Arabidopsis thaliana: one gene and its partners. The protein of the gene in region 1 interacts with the protein of each later gene in a pairwise test. Each region holds a gene or a part of one and is shown in the gene's direction. Other genes may lie near its edges.

Region 1 (5,789 bases):
TGTTGATAGTTGGGTAATGGAGCAAGTGAAAGATTGATGGTTGGTAGACCATAGATTCATGCATTCATACCATAAGGTATACTGATGGTGATTGGGTAAATTTTTGAGTCAGCTATTACAATTGAAAAGTTCATCAAATGACAAAACTATTACAACTTAGATCTTTGACAGCCAAAAGAAAAAAAAAAAAAAAAGAGAAAAAAAAAACTAAATTGTTGTTAGAAATTAGAAGTCAGAAGTAAGAAGACTCCCATAGGAATACAGTTCTGGCAACCAATTTCTTAGTTCTTTATTGGGCATTCATATCTTAGTTGGGCCTGACTCATATATATTTTGAACTTTTTGTACGCAATTGTATCTAACACTATAGTCTTACATTGTTCATATATTTAATGTTTTATATTGATTGCTACCTATATATTTTGATATGATGTAGATCCAACTATTTCTAGGTTGAATTGTCTTTTCGAACAGATTTTGTTTCCGGATTCACCATAAAAAAAAAAAAAAACTTATGTGACAGAAAGTACTATAGAAAGAATCGTGTTTACAACAATAAAGAGACTTGACCCAAACAAAAAACGTTTACAACAATAAAGAGTTGAACAATAATACGGTACGATTGTGTATGTTGAATCATCTCCTCCACTTGGACGTGTCCATTTGACAACGGAAAAAAGTGTGGCCGTGTTATCTTTCTTTGTAACGTTTACAGTTTCAATTGTTTAGTTTGATCAAATAATTAACTTGTGAATTTTATGGATGCAATATCTTGAAAACTAGGAAATCATATCTGATCATCCTGCTATAAAAAAAATAATACATGCATTTTAATATTCATGGTTTCACATGAATACTTCGGTCATCCATTTTTCAATTACACGAGTGTAAATCTGTAATATCAATATTCATTTATAATTATAACGGGTTGTGATTTGTGAAATTGTGGGTATAGATAAAACTTCAAAACCTATTGAAATGAATATCTATATACTTGGAATAGTAGTAGACACATTTTGTAATGAGTAACTTAAGCACACCGGTTCTCACTCACACTCGTCTAATGGAGAAAAATGGTATATTATATACCTCATATAGGAACATGATCATATGATTTAGGAGTCATAAGCATGAGATTAACAAGATATTTTGGTCCACATTAGGAATCTACTAAAGGAACTATTTTCTTATAACCTAAAAATCTTGGTTTGGTAAAAAGAACAACCTTAGATTATTTGGTCTTTTATCGATTCATGTAATTGTGTATCAAATGATTAAAATCTAATGCATCCTACTCAAACACGTCATTTAAGAAACCCTATATAGTACAAACACGATCCAATCTCCAAATTAACCCATAGTATATCATAGACGAGCATAATATTTTTGGTCAAATATAAAATTAGATGCACTAGTTCCCTTTATTTAGGCAGATGGACTTTCTTCTAATCGAAAATAATTGTTCTCAATGAGCCGTCAAACTTTGTGAAATATGGATATAAATTCATGACATCTACATAATTTTTGGTTTAACATGTGAAATTGAACTTAGGATCTATTTCATTCGAATTCTTACCATATACTAACCAAATATAAATAATGTTTACTGCTAAATACTATTTATATAAGTTTGTTCTTCACTAAAGAAATTTGTTGATTAGTTTGTTTTTCTAATTGAGAATCTCTTATTTCAGGACCGATAAAAAGGAAGTGATTTCCGGTTTTCGATTCAATTATTTCGGTTTAAGTCGGTTTACAAATCATCCACCCTGTAAATCACGGAGCAACATCCATAATCCATACAGATCAAACCACGTGGACATGTTACAGTGTTCCTTATCACAGAAGATGAGTACTCCTGTCATCTTTCCCCTTTTCACTTTAACATAACACTCTGTACACTAGTCTGATCAAAAAACCTCAAAACACAGCAACCGCCATTTCTTTCCAAATTCCCCCAATTCCCATTCCAACTTTATCTTCTGAAGTAGAAGAAGAAGCCATAGAAATGCTTTGAAGTTTCTGTAAGTGTTCTTACTCACTCTAAAAACTTCAATTTTGGTCTTTGTGCTTTTTTCTAACAGATCGGTGAAATTTTCTGAATCTGCTTTTTGTTTTTCCAGGTAAAGAGAAAGATCTACAATTGTTTTGAATATGCCGAGGCAGAATCAAAGCGTAGAGAATCTACTTCTACTTGGCAAAATCAGGAAACGTGGTTGTTCTTCGCCGACATCGTCGACTTCTTCGATTCTCCGTGAAGGTTATAGATTCAAAAGAGCGATAGTTGTTGGTAAAAGAGGAGGATCCACTACTCCTGTACCTACATGGAGACTTATGGGTCGATCTCCTTCTCCACGAGCTTCCGGTGCTTTACACGCTGCTGCTTCTCCGTCGTCTCACTGCGGGAGCAAAACCGGTAAAGTATCAGCTCCTGCTCCTGTTTCAGCTAGGAAGTTAGCTGCGACGCTTTGGGAGATGAACGAGATGCCTTCACCTAGAGTTGTGGAGGAGGCTGCGCCAATGATTAGAAAGAGTAGAAAGGAGAGAATCGCGCCGCTTCCTCCGCCGAGATCATCGGTTCATTCTGGTTCTCTACCGCCTCATCTTTCTGATCCGTCGCATAGTCCAGTCTCTGAGGTAAAATGCTTTGGTTATGATTGGTTGAGAGGAAGAGAATGTGCTGTAATTCCAACTTCTTGCTGGCTGCCATGTGCTTTAATTCTGACCGATCAAAAGAGAGAGAGAAAAACAATAATATATATAGTATAGTATTGATTGATTCGGGGAAGTTATAAAGATCTCATCTTTAACTGATAAAATTGATAATCTTTGTGTGATTCTAAGGTCTGAATTTAGTCAAAGTTGTGATTTTTTTGGCAACCTCTATGAGTATTTTAATCATCAAGGGAGATTATTATTCGTATAAGCTTCTGGTTGATGTTAAGGAGTGGGATTAGAGAAGAATAGAAAACTGTTTTGATCTTAAGAATCTTTTGTCATGTGCTCTATAACGCACATTTATGTTTATATGAAAGGGCGTTTCTTTATAAGTTGGTGCCTATTATTCTTGCATAATTGGGCACTTCTACTAGTTTTTATTCTTTCTCATTCGTTGGTCATATGGAGGTAGCTGGTTGTTTTTTAGAGGTTGATTTATTGTGAATAATGTAGGCCTAGATTCTCTTATAATGGAGACCTAAGAAAAATTATATATAATGCTAAATCTGGCAATGGACAATGCGAAGAATTCTGCTTTCTTTACTTCTGTGTGTTAGGTAATTGGATAGCTGAGAAACTTGTTGATTTTTGTAGAGGATGGAAAGATCAGGGACTGGGAGTCGCCAGAGAAGAGCTTCATCAACTGTGCAAAAGCTTAGGCTTGGAGACTGCAATGTGGGGGCTAGGGATCCTATTAACAGTGGCAGCTTCATGGATGTAAGTTGATTTTTTTATTTTTTTTTCACTCTTGGGGATGTTTCTTTGAGCATTATGAGGAACCCTTTCTTCTAGCAGTTTTCATAATTTTCTCAAACCAAATTTGGTATTTGATTAAGGATGAAAGTAGTATATTATTGAGCATTATTGGCTCCAGAGGCTGTTGGTTTTTTTACTTTGGAAGCATACGTACACATAATCTATGGTTTGTTTTGTTATGCACAGAAACATTGCAAATAACGGTATAAGAAACTAGGAGACACTCAATCCGTTATGATTAGTTAATTTGCCTCCATCATCTATAAATCAATATGTGTGCAAGAGAGTGATGTTCAAAAATATTTGAAATGTGTTTTTCCAATGCAGATTGAGACTCGATCACGGGTGGAGACACCGACTGGGTCAACTGTGGGTGTCAAAACACGGTTGAAGGATTGTAGTAACGCTCTCACAACATCAAAAGAGCTTCTCAAAATCATTAACAGAATGTGGGGTCAAGACGACCGCCCATCTTCTAGCATGTCCCTCGTCTCTGCTTTACATTCTGAGCTCGAAAGAGCTCGCTTACAGGTCAATCAGTTAATCCACGAACATAAACCGGAAAACAACGACATTAGCTACTTGATGAAGCGTTTTGCCGAAGAGAAAGCTGTGTGGAAAAGCAACGAGCAAGAAGTTGTTGAGGCTGCAATCGAATCTGTTGCTGGTGAGCTAGAAGTGGAGAGGAAGCTGAGGAGACGGTTTGAGAGCTTGAACAAGAAATTGGGCAAAGAATTGGCTGAAACAAAATCAGCTCTGATGAAAGCAGTTAAAGAAATCGAGAACGAGAAGCGAGCGAGAGTGATGGTTGAGAAAGTTTGTGATGAACTAGCAAGAGACATAAGCGAAGACAAAGCCGAAGTTGAAGAACTGAAGAGAGAATCTTTTAAAGTCAAAGAAGAAGTCGAAAAGGAAAGAGAGATGTTGCAGTTAGCAGATGCATTGCGGGAAGAGAGAGTACAGATGAAACTATCGGAGGCTAAACACCAGCTCGAGGAGAAAAACGCAGCTGTTGATAAGCTAAGAAACCAGCTTCAAACTTACCTCAAAGCAAAAAGATGTAAAGAGAAGACCCGTGAACCACCTCAAACTCAGCTACATAACGAAGAGGCTGGAGATTATTTAAACCATCACATCAGTTTTGGATCATATAACATCGAAGATGGAGAAGTCGAGAATGGAAATGAAGAAGGTTCAGGCGAAAGCGACCTTCATTCCATAGAACTGAACATAGACAACAAGAGCTATAAATGGCCTTATGGTGAAGAGAACAGAGGAAGAAAATCAACGCCAAGGAAAAGCCTTTCTTTACAAAGAAGCATATCGGATTGTGTTGATTGGGTTGTACAGAGCGAGAAGCTTCAAAAAAGTGGAGATGGAGGGTTGGATTGGGGAAGATCTATTGACGTTGAGCCTAAAGGGTATATAGATGAAACACAAGCTTATAAACCAAACAAGGCTTCTTCAAAAGATCACCATATCCTCTCGGGTTCGAGACTAAGTAACTTCCGCGGTGGATCTGTTTCAAAGTCGCGGTTATCGGATGCTTCGAAAGGCGAGAACCAGAATGCCAGAAAATCAAGATGGTAATATGATCAAGAAATTTTATTCACATTTTCAGCGCAGAGATAACAGAATCTAAAGACTTTACATCTACATTTTTTCTCTGTTCGCTCGTTTTGTCAAGAGTGATTCTCTCATCTGTAAGTGACATAAAACATGAATTTGAACTGGTAATGATCCAAACATGTAAGAGCATGAATTTACACGAAATCGTCTTTTGATTTATATCATTTAAGAGTTAGAACGCCTACAAGATCGAAAAAAAGACACTAATCGTCGAGCCATTTCCTGATTCGATCCTTGACGAAATCATTACGAGCTTTGACGCGAGCTTGTTGCGGTGAGATGTTGGCGAGTGAGAGATACGCTCCGGCGACGAAGAGAGAAACGCCCGCCGCGAAAAAACCCACCGACACTACTAACTGCCGCCGTGTCGGCGGATACGACATAAAAAACACCATCTTATCGTTTACCGCCGTCTGTTGCAAAAGCTGTTTAATACTAACTGTTAATGGGCCGGGGTTTTTTATTTTATTTTGGGCTTTATTTTTAATCTCCAATTTCTCAACAAATTAAAAAAAAAGAGTATTAAAAAAAAGGAATGAAGATTAAACCGAGAAGGCGAGAACTTTTTTTTTTTTTGTTATTGGTTATTTAATATTATAAACAATGGTTTAATGGATTATTTTCGAATTTAGATCCATACAAAATTTGAAAAGAGCCCAATCAACTATACCAAACCGAACCAAGCT
Region 2 (4,321 bases), 1.7 Mb from region 1:
CCCAATGCCCAAACCCAAGTCAAAAGCCCAAAATAAGTTCCAAACCAAGGAGGAGTATTAAGGCGAAGGGTAGTTTCGTCAAATCCCTCGATGAATGCCCTACACGCGTAGTGCTATAAATACGGAATAGCATGTCATGTCGAAGGGGGGAATTCCGCCTGACACGCAGACACAGAGTAGCTCGCCTTTCTCAAGTAGCTCGTCAGCGAGCCCTTCTCAAGAAGCTCGTTAGCTCGCTCCTCTTCGACAAGCTTATCAACTCGTTCTCTTCACCAAGTCCCTCAGCTCGTCTTCAAGCTCTCCAACTCGTCTTTAAGCTCTTCAAACTCTTCAGATCGCCATTAAGCTCAACAAGCTGCTAAGCTCGTCTTCAAGCTCCTCAACTCGTCTTCAAGCTTCTCAGCTCGTCTTCATGCTCCACTCAACGACCATCTCCTCGTCTAGCTGTCATCTATACAGCTCGTCCAACTCCTCGTCTAGCTATCAGCTCATCCCTCGAAAACAAAACTCATCTACCTCCTCGCCTAGCGGCAGTTCGTCCATTGACTGCATAGTCCACCTATCTCGTCGTCCAGCTCGTCTAGACCTTCAGCAAACAACTCGGTTTATCCAACTCGTCTCTCTACCACGGTTCATCCAGCTTGTCGCACATCTGCCGGCTCGTCAACTACCTGCCGACCTACCTCCAATGACGGCCTAGCTCACTTATTCTAATATGAACTACGTGTGGCTTGACCCCTTTCTAATATGGACTACGTGTCGTCTCGCTTGACTATCACCGAGACAGCACATTGTCAGCTCGCCCGTCTCACGAAGATCGTCCGTCTCAAATAGCTCGTCAGCTCGTCCTTCTCAAGTAGCTCGTCAGCGAGCCCTTCTCAAGAAGCTCGTTAGCTCGCTCCTCTTCGTCAAGCTTATCAACTCGTTCTCTTCACCAAGTCCCCCAGCTCGTCTTCAAGCTCTCCAACTCGTCTTCAAGCTCTTCAGCTCGCCTTAAGCTCTTCAGCTCGCCTTTAAGCTCTTCAAACTCTTTAGCTCGCCCTTCTTACAAAAACAAAAAAGGATATCAATTATGTAGATCAAAACAAAAACAAAAAAGGACTTACAAGGACGTAGATATCAATTATGTAGATCAAAGAATAAGCAGTCCAAATTCCAGCGTTGATGAAACGAACTAACGATAGCCAAAACGGCATGTACTTGAAGGTCTTAGTCTCCGGCGGCATTTTGTCCTAATTGTTTCACGCATTAAAAACTTATCAAAACCAGTTTAATAGTTTACTTATCTATATATTCATCAATAAGTGAGAGCCAGAGAGAGAGAGAGAGCTTACTATGGTAAATAAAAGATAGATGATAACAATGTTGTAAACGTTGCAAACAACACCAATGAATGTATGCTTGCCGGCCGGATAAACTCCCAAATCCCCAGATAGTCATACAATAGACTGTTGCCACAAAACTAAACTCCAACGGAAGCAATAGATAAAAGAGTAATATCTGCACATCAACATCGACATCATCAAAATCAATATACAATATTTTTCTGGATTTGTTTTTTTTTTCTTTGGGATATTTCTATAGAATTTAGTCAAGATTGTGTTTGTTTGTTACCACCTTTTGTGCACCAGTCACCAATCCTTATTTTTATTATTAAATCTATTTTTGATACTATAATTCGTGATTTTCCTTTTAGTTTTATATATATATATACTTACAGAGATGCGAGCTTCATATTATTATTTTTATCTTTTTGAACACCAAAAAAATAGCCTCGTATTATTTTTAAATGATCAATTATGTGATCATATTTAAAAATACGATCCGGTTTTTAAGGGATTTGAACGGATCAAATGTGTTTCCGGTTCGGTTATATAAACCGGTATTTTACCATATCCAACCGAAATGAGTATCGACGGGAATTATCCGTAAACAGAGTGACAGTGAGGTGTGAAGGAAGAAGACGATGGCGTCAATGTCTCTCTCCTTTTCTTCTTCGCTATGTTCATCCAGAATCCCCGAAGGTAAGCGTAGGTTTCGTCACAGAGATGTGGGCATCGTTAGATGCGTTTTGGCTGCTTCGAAATCTTCTCCGGGAAGTGTTACGAAGAAGAGGCTTTGGAAAGACGGCGAATTCCCCGGAATCACGGAGCCGGTTAATCAGAGAAGAACTCCGATAAAGAATGTGAAGAAGAAACTTGACAGGAGAAGCAAAGCTAACGGATGGGTTAACACCGTCACTGAAACTTTGTCCGATCTCATCGCCAAAAAGCAGTGGTTACAAGCTCTCGAGGTATTTCGATTTTCTCTCTTCTCGTTCATGTTTGATTGAATTTGAACTCAATTTTGAATCACGAGTATAATTTAGCTGAAAGATGATTTTGATTGAATTGGGTATTTTGTTGATGATCTTAGGTTTTTGATATGTTGAGGGAACAAACATTTTATCAACCAAAGGAAGGAACTTACATGAAGCTGCTTGTTCTTCTCGGTAAATCTGGTCAACCCAATCGTGCACAGAAGCTGTTCGACGAAATGCTTGAAGAAGGACTTGAACCAACTGTTGAACTCTACACTGCTCTTCTCGCTGCTTACACTCGCAGCAATCTCATCGACGATGCTTTTTCAATTCTTGATAAAATGAAAAGCTTTCCTCAATGCCAACCTGATGTTTTCACGTACAGCACTCTGCTCAAGGCTTGTGTGGATGCTTCTCAGTTTGACTTGGTGGATTCGTTATACAAGGAAATGGACGAGCGTTTGATAACTCCAAACACTGTGACCCAGAACATAGTTTTAAGTGGGTACGGTAGGGTCGGAAGGTTTGATCAGATGGAGAAAGTTTTGTCTGATATGTTGGTGAGTACTGCTTGCAAACCCGATGTGTGGACTATGAATATCATCCTTAGTGTGTTTGGAAACATGGGTAAGATAGACATGATGGAGAGCTGGTACGAAAAGTTCAGGAACTTTGGGATTGAGCCAGAGACTCGGACTTTCAATATTTTGATTGGTTCTTATGGGAAGAAGAGAATGTATGATAAGATGTCGTCTGTCATGGAATACATGCGAAAGCTAGAGTTTCCGTGGACAACATCAACCTACAACAATATCATCGAGGCGTTTGCGGATGTTGGTGATGCAAAGAACATGGAGTTGACATTTGATCAGATGCGTAGCGAAGGTATGAAAGCAGACACAAAGACCTTTTGCTGTCTCATAAACGGATATGCCAATGCCGGTCTTTTCCACAAGGTGATAAGTAGTGTTCAGTTGGCTGCTAAGTTTGAGATACCCGAGAATACTGCCTTTTACAACGCGGTGATATCAGCGTGTGCTAAAGCAGATGATCTGATAGAGATGGAAAGAGTGTACATAAGAATGAAGGAGAGACAATGCGTATGCGATTCAAGAACGTTTGAGATCATGGTCGAGGCGTATGAAAAAGAAGGTATGAATGATAAGATCTATTACTTGGAACAAGAGAGGCAAAAGCTTATGGATCGCACTGTTGCTACAAAAGAGATGGAGAATCTTCCGGCAGGATGATTGCGGTTTGTGTGTGAATCTCTCTCTCTCTCTCTCTGCAAGGAGAGATCGATGTCTCACTTGAAAGAGTAGAATAAAAGAGTTTGTAATACACTTGATTGTTCTTGCAGCTATGCGTGTTATATATTTTGATGGGCCCAAAATTATGAATAGAGGCCCATAGATAAACTGTGACGTGCACAAGAAATCGGACAAGTCCAAAAAGTGGATAAGTGCGTGTCGTCTTTCTATAAATAATCTCTTTTCTCTCATCTTTTACCGTTTCTTCTCGAACAATCAAAAACGAACTAACCAAACATAAAATTGAACACATCCTCTTCCTCTGCTCTCTGCAAACAAAAAAACACCGATTCGGTCAGGAATCATTCGTCGTGAAATCTGTAATGGGGATTGTTGTCAAGTCTTTCAAGGATCAATTCTCCTCTGGTTTGTTCTTCGTTAATCTCTTTCTGATTCTTTGGAATTTTTTTTCCTTCGAAATGTGCTTCTGAAGCAAAGTTTTCATCTTTGTTTGAGGATATAGATGAGAGATTGAAGGAGTCGAACAACATCATTGCGAAATATCCAGATAGAATACCTGTAAGTTATTTCATAAATTTCATGTTTGATTTGTTTCTTGGTGTTTCCGTCTTAGTTGCCGTGCGATTGTGGATTTCCTTAGGGTTCGAATGATTTACTCAATTAAAAAAAAGTCTTCGTTTGACTTGCATCTCTCGAATTTGCTAGAATCTCTGTTTCAATCTTAGAATTTCTTCGCCATGGTTTGATGGAT
Region 3 (5,552 bases), on another chromosome or scaffold:
TCTTGATATCTCTCTCAATTTGATTGGCTTTGATGAATTTGTTTGATGAGAGGTGTGTTGTGTAGTAATTTATATATACAATTGGGTTTGGAAACTAATGTGATGCTTTTACGTGGGAGGCACAACTTTAAGATTTGAATATTCGAGTGACTTGCCTGCATGTCGTATATAATGTTTATGATATATAATTTTTTTTTGATCAAATGATATATATTAATAGTATAATTTTAAAAAACCTTTTTACAAGAGAAAAAATGATATAATGATCTTTACATTACTGAAATCAGGGTTTTGACTTATTTGGATTAGATTAATTGTAAAATTTATTTGTCAACAACTTCCATTGATTTAATTTTGTTTGTTTTTTGGTCGGTTATGTGAGACTATTATTATTTTATTTTGTTGTCTACAATTAACATACGTATATATACACTGGATGATGACATCAAAGTATGTTTTCGAGTAATCCGTAAAGCAAAATGTGATATATCGAAATTAACAAATTTTTTGCACAATCATTAATAATGAATTTGCTCAGATCCTCTAACAAAAATAGCGATATTACCTCTGCACATTTTTTAGCACGGAAAAATAGGTCCATTAGAGACATGTTGACAAAAAAAAAAAAACAATTCACCATAGGCTACGTTTATTGAAAATTGATGCATCTCAACAAGTTTTCAAACGTTCAAATTTTGAGTTTTTTTGAACTATACAACAAATTCTCACTAGTCAAAACCTTAAACTTTTTCATATATTTTTCTAGTTTTTATAATTTATATTTCTTACAAATAATTGTAGAAAACTCAATTTTTGGGTCATGAAAATCGCCAACAGTGTGAAAAGAGGCCAACCAAAAGCAGTTGATTCTCTAGAACTCATTGTTAATAACTGAAATATATGTATGTAAACTAATATTTGCTAGAATTATAAAGGAGAAAAGAGTACAATCGAAGTCGGAACCAACGCCGGCCGGTCGGAAAAATCACAGAAGAAAAATCGTATCAATCGCTTTTTCAATCGTCCATCTTCTTTATCTACCGGATAATACTTCCTAATACTTAAACTTTAAGAAAAAAGATTGTCAGCTAGCTATACGAAGTGTGGAAGAATACATTATCACATATGCCGCAACTAATATAAACGATACCCAGTTACCTGAAATATATATACGAAATATATGTCGTATGTGCCAATATCATAGACACTAAGTCTCGATTAATCGGTCGTTTTACTCTATCGTTGACTAATCGTTAACTCATCGGGATCCGAAAATGATCGGTTGTGAACCTTATTATTGGTTTCAATTATCGTTATTTTGTATAGAGACTATTTTTTCTTAAATCGTTTTATAAGAGTCACAAATCACAACTCGTCCTAAGTTCTCTCTCTATTCGACTAACCCAAGCACGACATTGACCACTATGCCTGGGCCTATTGACCACACTACAATAAAATCGCACACTACATGAAACTTGGGTTGAACATCTAATTTTCTCTAATTAAATTATTTTTACTTTGCTTAAAAGTTTTTGTTCCTGTCAGTTATACAATTTAAAATTGTTTGTTATCTTTAGTTCTTCAATTTGATTTATGATGTGGCATAAAATCCAGAAAGTGCATGGTTCCCACTCGACAACGGCTAAATTCCTCAACGGCTCCTTTTTGACTCTAGCATATTTAGGAGCCTTAATTATTAAATAATTTAATCACCCTTTAATTAGTATAACAATCCAATGTTAATTTTTTCATGCATTACACAATTAAATGCTTTTACCAGTATAATGACATGTGTTATACAATATCTTTCAAATTCAATTTTGTCCAAAATTATAAGTAGCTTTTTTATTTTTCTATAACAATTTATCACTTTTGGCCACATAAGGCTTTTCTTTCTCTGTATTCTTACACCTCATTCTTTATTGCCTTGTTTTACAGACACGTTCCCCAGTTTAAGGGACAAAACAGAGCCATTTTAGGACTCTTAACATTTATAAGTCCTCTTACTAAATAGATAAGCACAAATACTGTTTGGTTCTGTTTTGCTTCTTCATCATCATCGTATCTCCACCGTTTGTTTGTTGTTGTTCTGTTTCTTTAACAGGAAAAAAAAACAGAGAGAAAAATCTGTCTCTTCACTAACACAAATCCATTTTCTCTTCTTCTTGTAGAGAGACAGAGAAAACAGAGTTGTCCTCTAACTTCTTTCGATCGATTCAAAAACTCTAATGATTATTTGATTTTATGTTCGTTTGTTCGATTCTTAGATCGTAAAAAAATGGTGTCTTCTCCTCAGAGATTCGGTTTAATCTTAAGAGATCGTAACCAAAACGCTGGCGTTTTTCAAAAGAATCTGAAATCTCCGGTGAAAGAGGTTTTGAAATCTCATGTCTCCGATGAGAATTTAGTTGATTCTTGGATCGAAACTCACAATAACAAGAACAATCGTGTTCTTGAATCTCCGTTAGAATCGAAGAGAAACGACAATCTTGTGGCTTCTTCTTTGGTTCAGATATGGGAGGCGAGGCTAAACCGATCCAACGGTGGAAACTCGCCGAGTAGCAGTCAATCTACGGCGAGTAGTAGTAGTCGGAGCGATTCAGGAGTTAGTGTTCAAGATTCCGGTCTTTCAGAATCTTCATCAATCGATGGAGATTCTGAAATTGCTGATCGAACGGTGGAGATTGAATCTAGGTCACATGGTTTGGTTTCTGATTCCGGAGAAAGTAAATGGGGACGAGTCGCTGACCTAATTCGGAGGCTTAGCAACGAAGACAAGAAACGAACCGCTGGAGATAATGGCAGCGGCGGTGGCGGTGGACTCGAGATTATCAGAACGCCGAGGCCTTATTGCACTTCGTCGTCATCGGAGAAAAGTAATTTTCCGGTGGTTAGTTTCTCTCCGAAGATACGAGGACGACAAGCGTTTACCGATTTTCTTATGCAAATGGAACGTGATCGCCACCGTGAATTGGATTCGCTTTTTGAACGCAACGCAGTTTCTAGGTTTACTCAACGTGGTCGTCTCCAGGTAAATTATATTTTCACTATTTTGATAAAAATAACTAACATATTTGTGACTTTATTCATAATCCACTAAATGGTTTTTCTAATTACATTATTTAACCAGTCAATGCTAAGGTTAAGGAACCTCAATCGCTGTCTTGTGATTCAAGATAGAAACCGGTCTAACGCAAAAACAACCGGATTAAACCGAATTGAATCAGGCTCTGCTGTTCTGCATTTAAGGTTTTTTCAGATTCTCTGTTTTATGTTTTGAGTTTAGTTCTTAGGGTTTACTTTCTTCAGATTTTCAATCTTTGATTGGCAACGCAGGGAGAAATTTCATGCGAACGTAGTAAACTCTGCGGCTGCAACAGATAAGAGGAAGAATCATCAACGATCCACTGAGATGAACAACAAATCCGTAGAAGAAACAGAAGGAACTACTACCACAAGCACGAGGTTAAAGGATGGTGGTGTTACTCTCGAAGCTTTTTTCGCAGAGCGGTTGAGACCCCGTAACCGCAAGATAGAGGAAGCAACGTTATGTAAGGAAGAAGAATCTGTAAGTGGAACAGTTGATTCACAAAAGAATTGCCTTCAGCTGCAAGAAACAAGAGAAGTAGAAGAAACTTGCAACGATGGCAAGTCTGAAAAGAAAGAAGAAGAAAATACTAGCCCGAGTGAATATTTATCTCGAGAATCGCGGTTGAGACAGAATCAAGACGAGAACAATGTGGGAAAGTATATGCAAGAAACTCGAGAAACAGAAGGTCTAGTTCATGAGAGTAATGAGATGGACCAGTGCCTTGATCAACAAGAAACATCCTATTTGAATAGATGGGGAGAACAAGAAGAGTATGCAGATGAGCAGTCTTATTATGGAGAATATAACGACGACTGGCTTAGTGAAATAGCTAGGCCTCGGAGTTACTGGGAGGAATTGAGGAAGTCACGGTACCTGGAAGTAATGAACACTAGGTCTGAGAAAGATGACATATGCAGACTCCTTGAGCGGTAAGTAACCATCAAAATTGACAAGCTCATGTTTCTTAATGGTTAATAACTGACTAAGAAAATGAATTTCCCTGCTTAATACAGAAGAACGGTGACAGATTTCCTCGACAGCGGGTTGCGAGAGAAGATCGATAATCTCATGATGTCCCGTGTACAGACACACTCGGATAAGCACTCCAAAAAATGGGAATTGCAACAAGAAGAAGAGGAGGAAGTAAATTTTGAAATTGATGAAGAAATCAAAGAAGAGCCATTAAGAGGAGGTGAAGAGCAAGATGATAGAGATGACTTGAGCCAATCGTCGTCTTCACATATATCTGCATCGTCTCCTGCAGGATCATGGAGTTCTCAAGACACTGATGTTACTTCCACTCCTGCCTTGGTTGTTCAGAATCCTCAGTCACCTGTGAGTGTTTATCGATTTCTTGTTATACTATAGAAACTCGCAACCGCACTAGTGGTAAACTCATTGAGCCGCATATAAACGTTTTCAGGAAATGGAGCTGATAAGCGGTATGAGATCACAGATCCAACAGCTTCAGCAAGAAATGTCAGTACTACGAGATTCTGTCAAAACGTGTTTAGATGCTAACGCGAGCTTGCAACACAAGGCTCACCAAGAAAACCCAATGAAACGAAAATGCTGCGTCTGCGACGAAACACAGGTCGAGGCGGTTTTGTACAGGTGTGGACATATGTGCATGTGCCTAAAATGTGCCAACGAACTACATTGGAGTGGAGGGAAATGTCCGATTTGCAGAGCTCAGATTGTTGACGTTGTTCGTGTCATCTACGATACAAGAAACTGAAATCAACCGTTTTGAAAACGCTGAAGAATTCACTAACCCATTAAACCCTCTTTTCCTTATCGAGTTTGCGTTATTTGGCGTTTTGGGTCTGAATATCGTATTATGCTCTCTTTATACAGTTTTTAGGTTATGTTACCAACACTTTGTCCAGTTTTATGAAGTTTTTGATCTCCTAAACCAACCAAAAAAATTAACGGAAAATAGCCTAAAAATAAACCTTAAAACCTGAAAAGGCAAGTCACAAACAGAGCTTGGAAACATACATGAATTTTTGCAATTACTCTAGTAACCATCATTTCATTGATTTTGATACCTCATTGAGTACACTCTAAAAATTGTAGATTAAAGTCTGAAAACAGATCTTCGATGCAAAAGTGAAGCACATAGATTATAAAATACTCTCATAATCATCTACTCTTGGTCAAATTTATTTCATAAAGATTCAACAAAGCCAAACAAACCCTCAAAAATTGGAGATAGAGCTTCTAAGCAAACACTAAAAATTATACTTTTTGAGTTGTTTTAGAATCATAAACCCTTTATCGATTTTGATTTCTCAAAGACTCAACACTCTCTTTCTCTCCATAATATTTACACATCATCCGTAGATACATTACACTCATTTCATACATACATATTATAAATAAAACTCTGTGTTCTGTTTTTGTTTTCCTTATTCAAGCGTTTTGTGCGGTCAAGAAGGTGTTGAAGTCATCTCTAGCC

Evidence for each region. The genes of interacting proteins can lie anywhere in the genome.
Region 2: the proteins of AT3G11590 (region 1) and PPR2 interact in a two-hybrid assay, tested with the Arabidopsis thaliana proteins (one large-scale study listed by BioGRID).
Region 3: the proteins of AT3G11590 (region 1) and AT1G30860 interact in a two-hybrid assay, tested with the Arabidopsis thaliana proteins (one large-scale study listed by BioGRID).

The regions. Positions count from the first base shown.
Region 1 is NC_003074.8:3,658,474-3,664,262, forward strand, and holds AT3G11590 (golgin family A protein), read left to right. Parts: upstream 1-1,824; 5' UTR 1,825-2,024; intron 2,025-2,123; 5' UTR 2,124-2,154; coding exon 2,155-2,637; intron 2,638-2,690; exon of another isoform or gene 2,691-3,312; coding exon 3,313-3,435; intron 3,436-3,801; coding exon 3,802-5,064; 3' UTR 5,065-5,261; downstream 5,262-5,789. Other genes in the region: AT3G11591 (bric-a-brac protein), read right to left, coding at 5,307-5,498.
Region 2 is NC_003074.8:1,955,886-1,960,206, reverse strand, and holds PPR2 (Tetratricopeptide repeat (TPR)-like superfamily protein), read left to right. Parts: upstream 1-1,902; 5' UTR 1,903-1,966; coding exon 1,967-2,293; intron 2,294-2,415; coding exon 2,416-3,549; 3' UTR 3,550-3,798; downstream 3,799-4,321. Other genes in the region: ATG8H (Ubiquitin-like superfamily protein), read left to right, coding at 3,933-3,975, 4,073-4,128.
Region 3 is NC_003070.9:10,985,973-10,991,524, reverse strand, and holds AT1G30860 (RING/U-box superfamily protein), read left to right. Parts: upstream 1-1,931; 5' UTR 1,932-2,278; coding exon 2,279-3,031; intron 3,032-3,130; coding exon 3,131-3,249; intron 3,250-3,336; coding exon 3,337-4,020; intron 4,021-4,104; coding exon 4,105-4,426; intron 4,427-4,514; coding exon 4,515-4,829; 3' UTR 4,830-5,029; downstream 5,030-5,552. Other genes in the region: RSH4 (root hair specific 4), read right to left, coding at 5,507-5,552.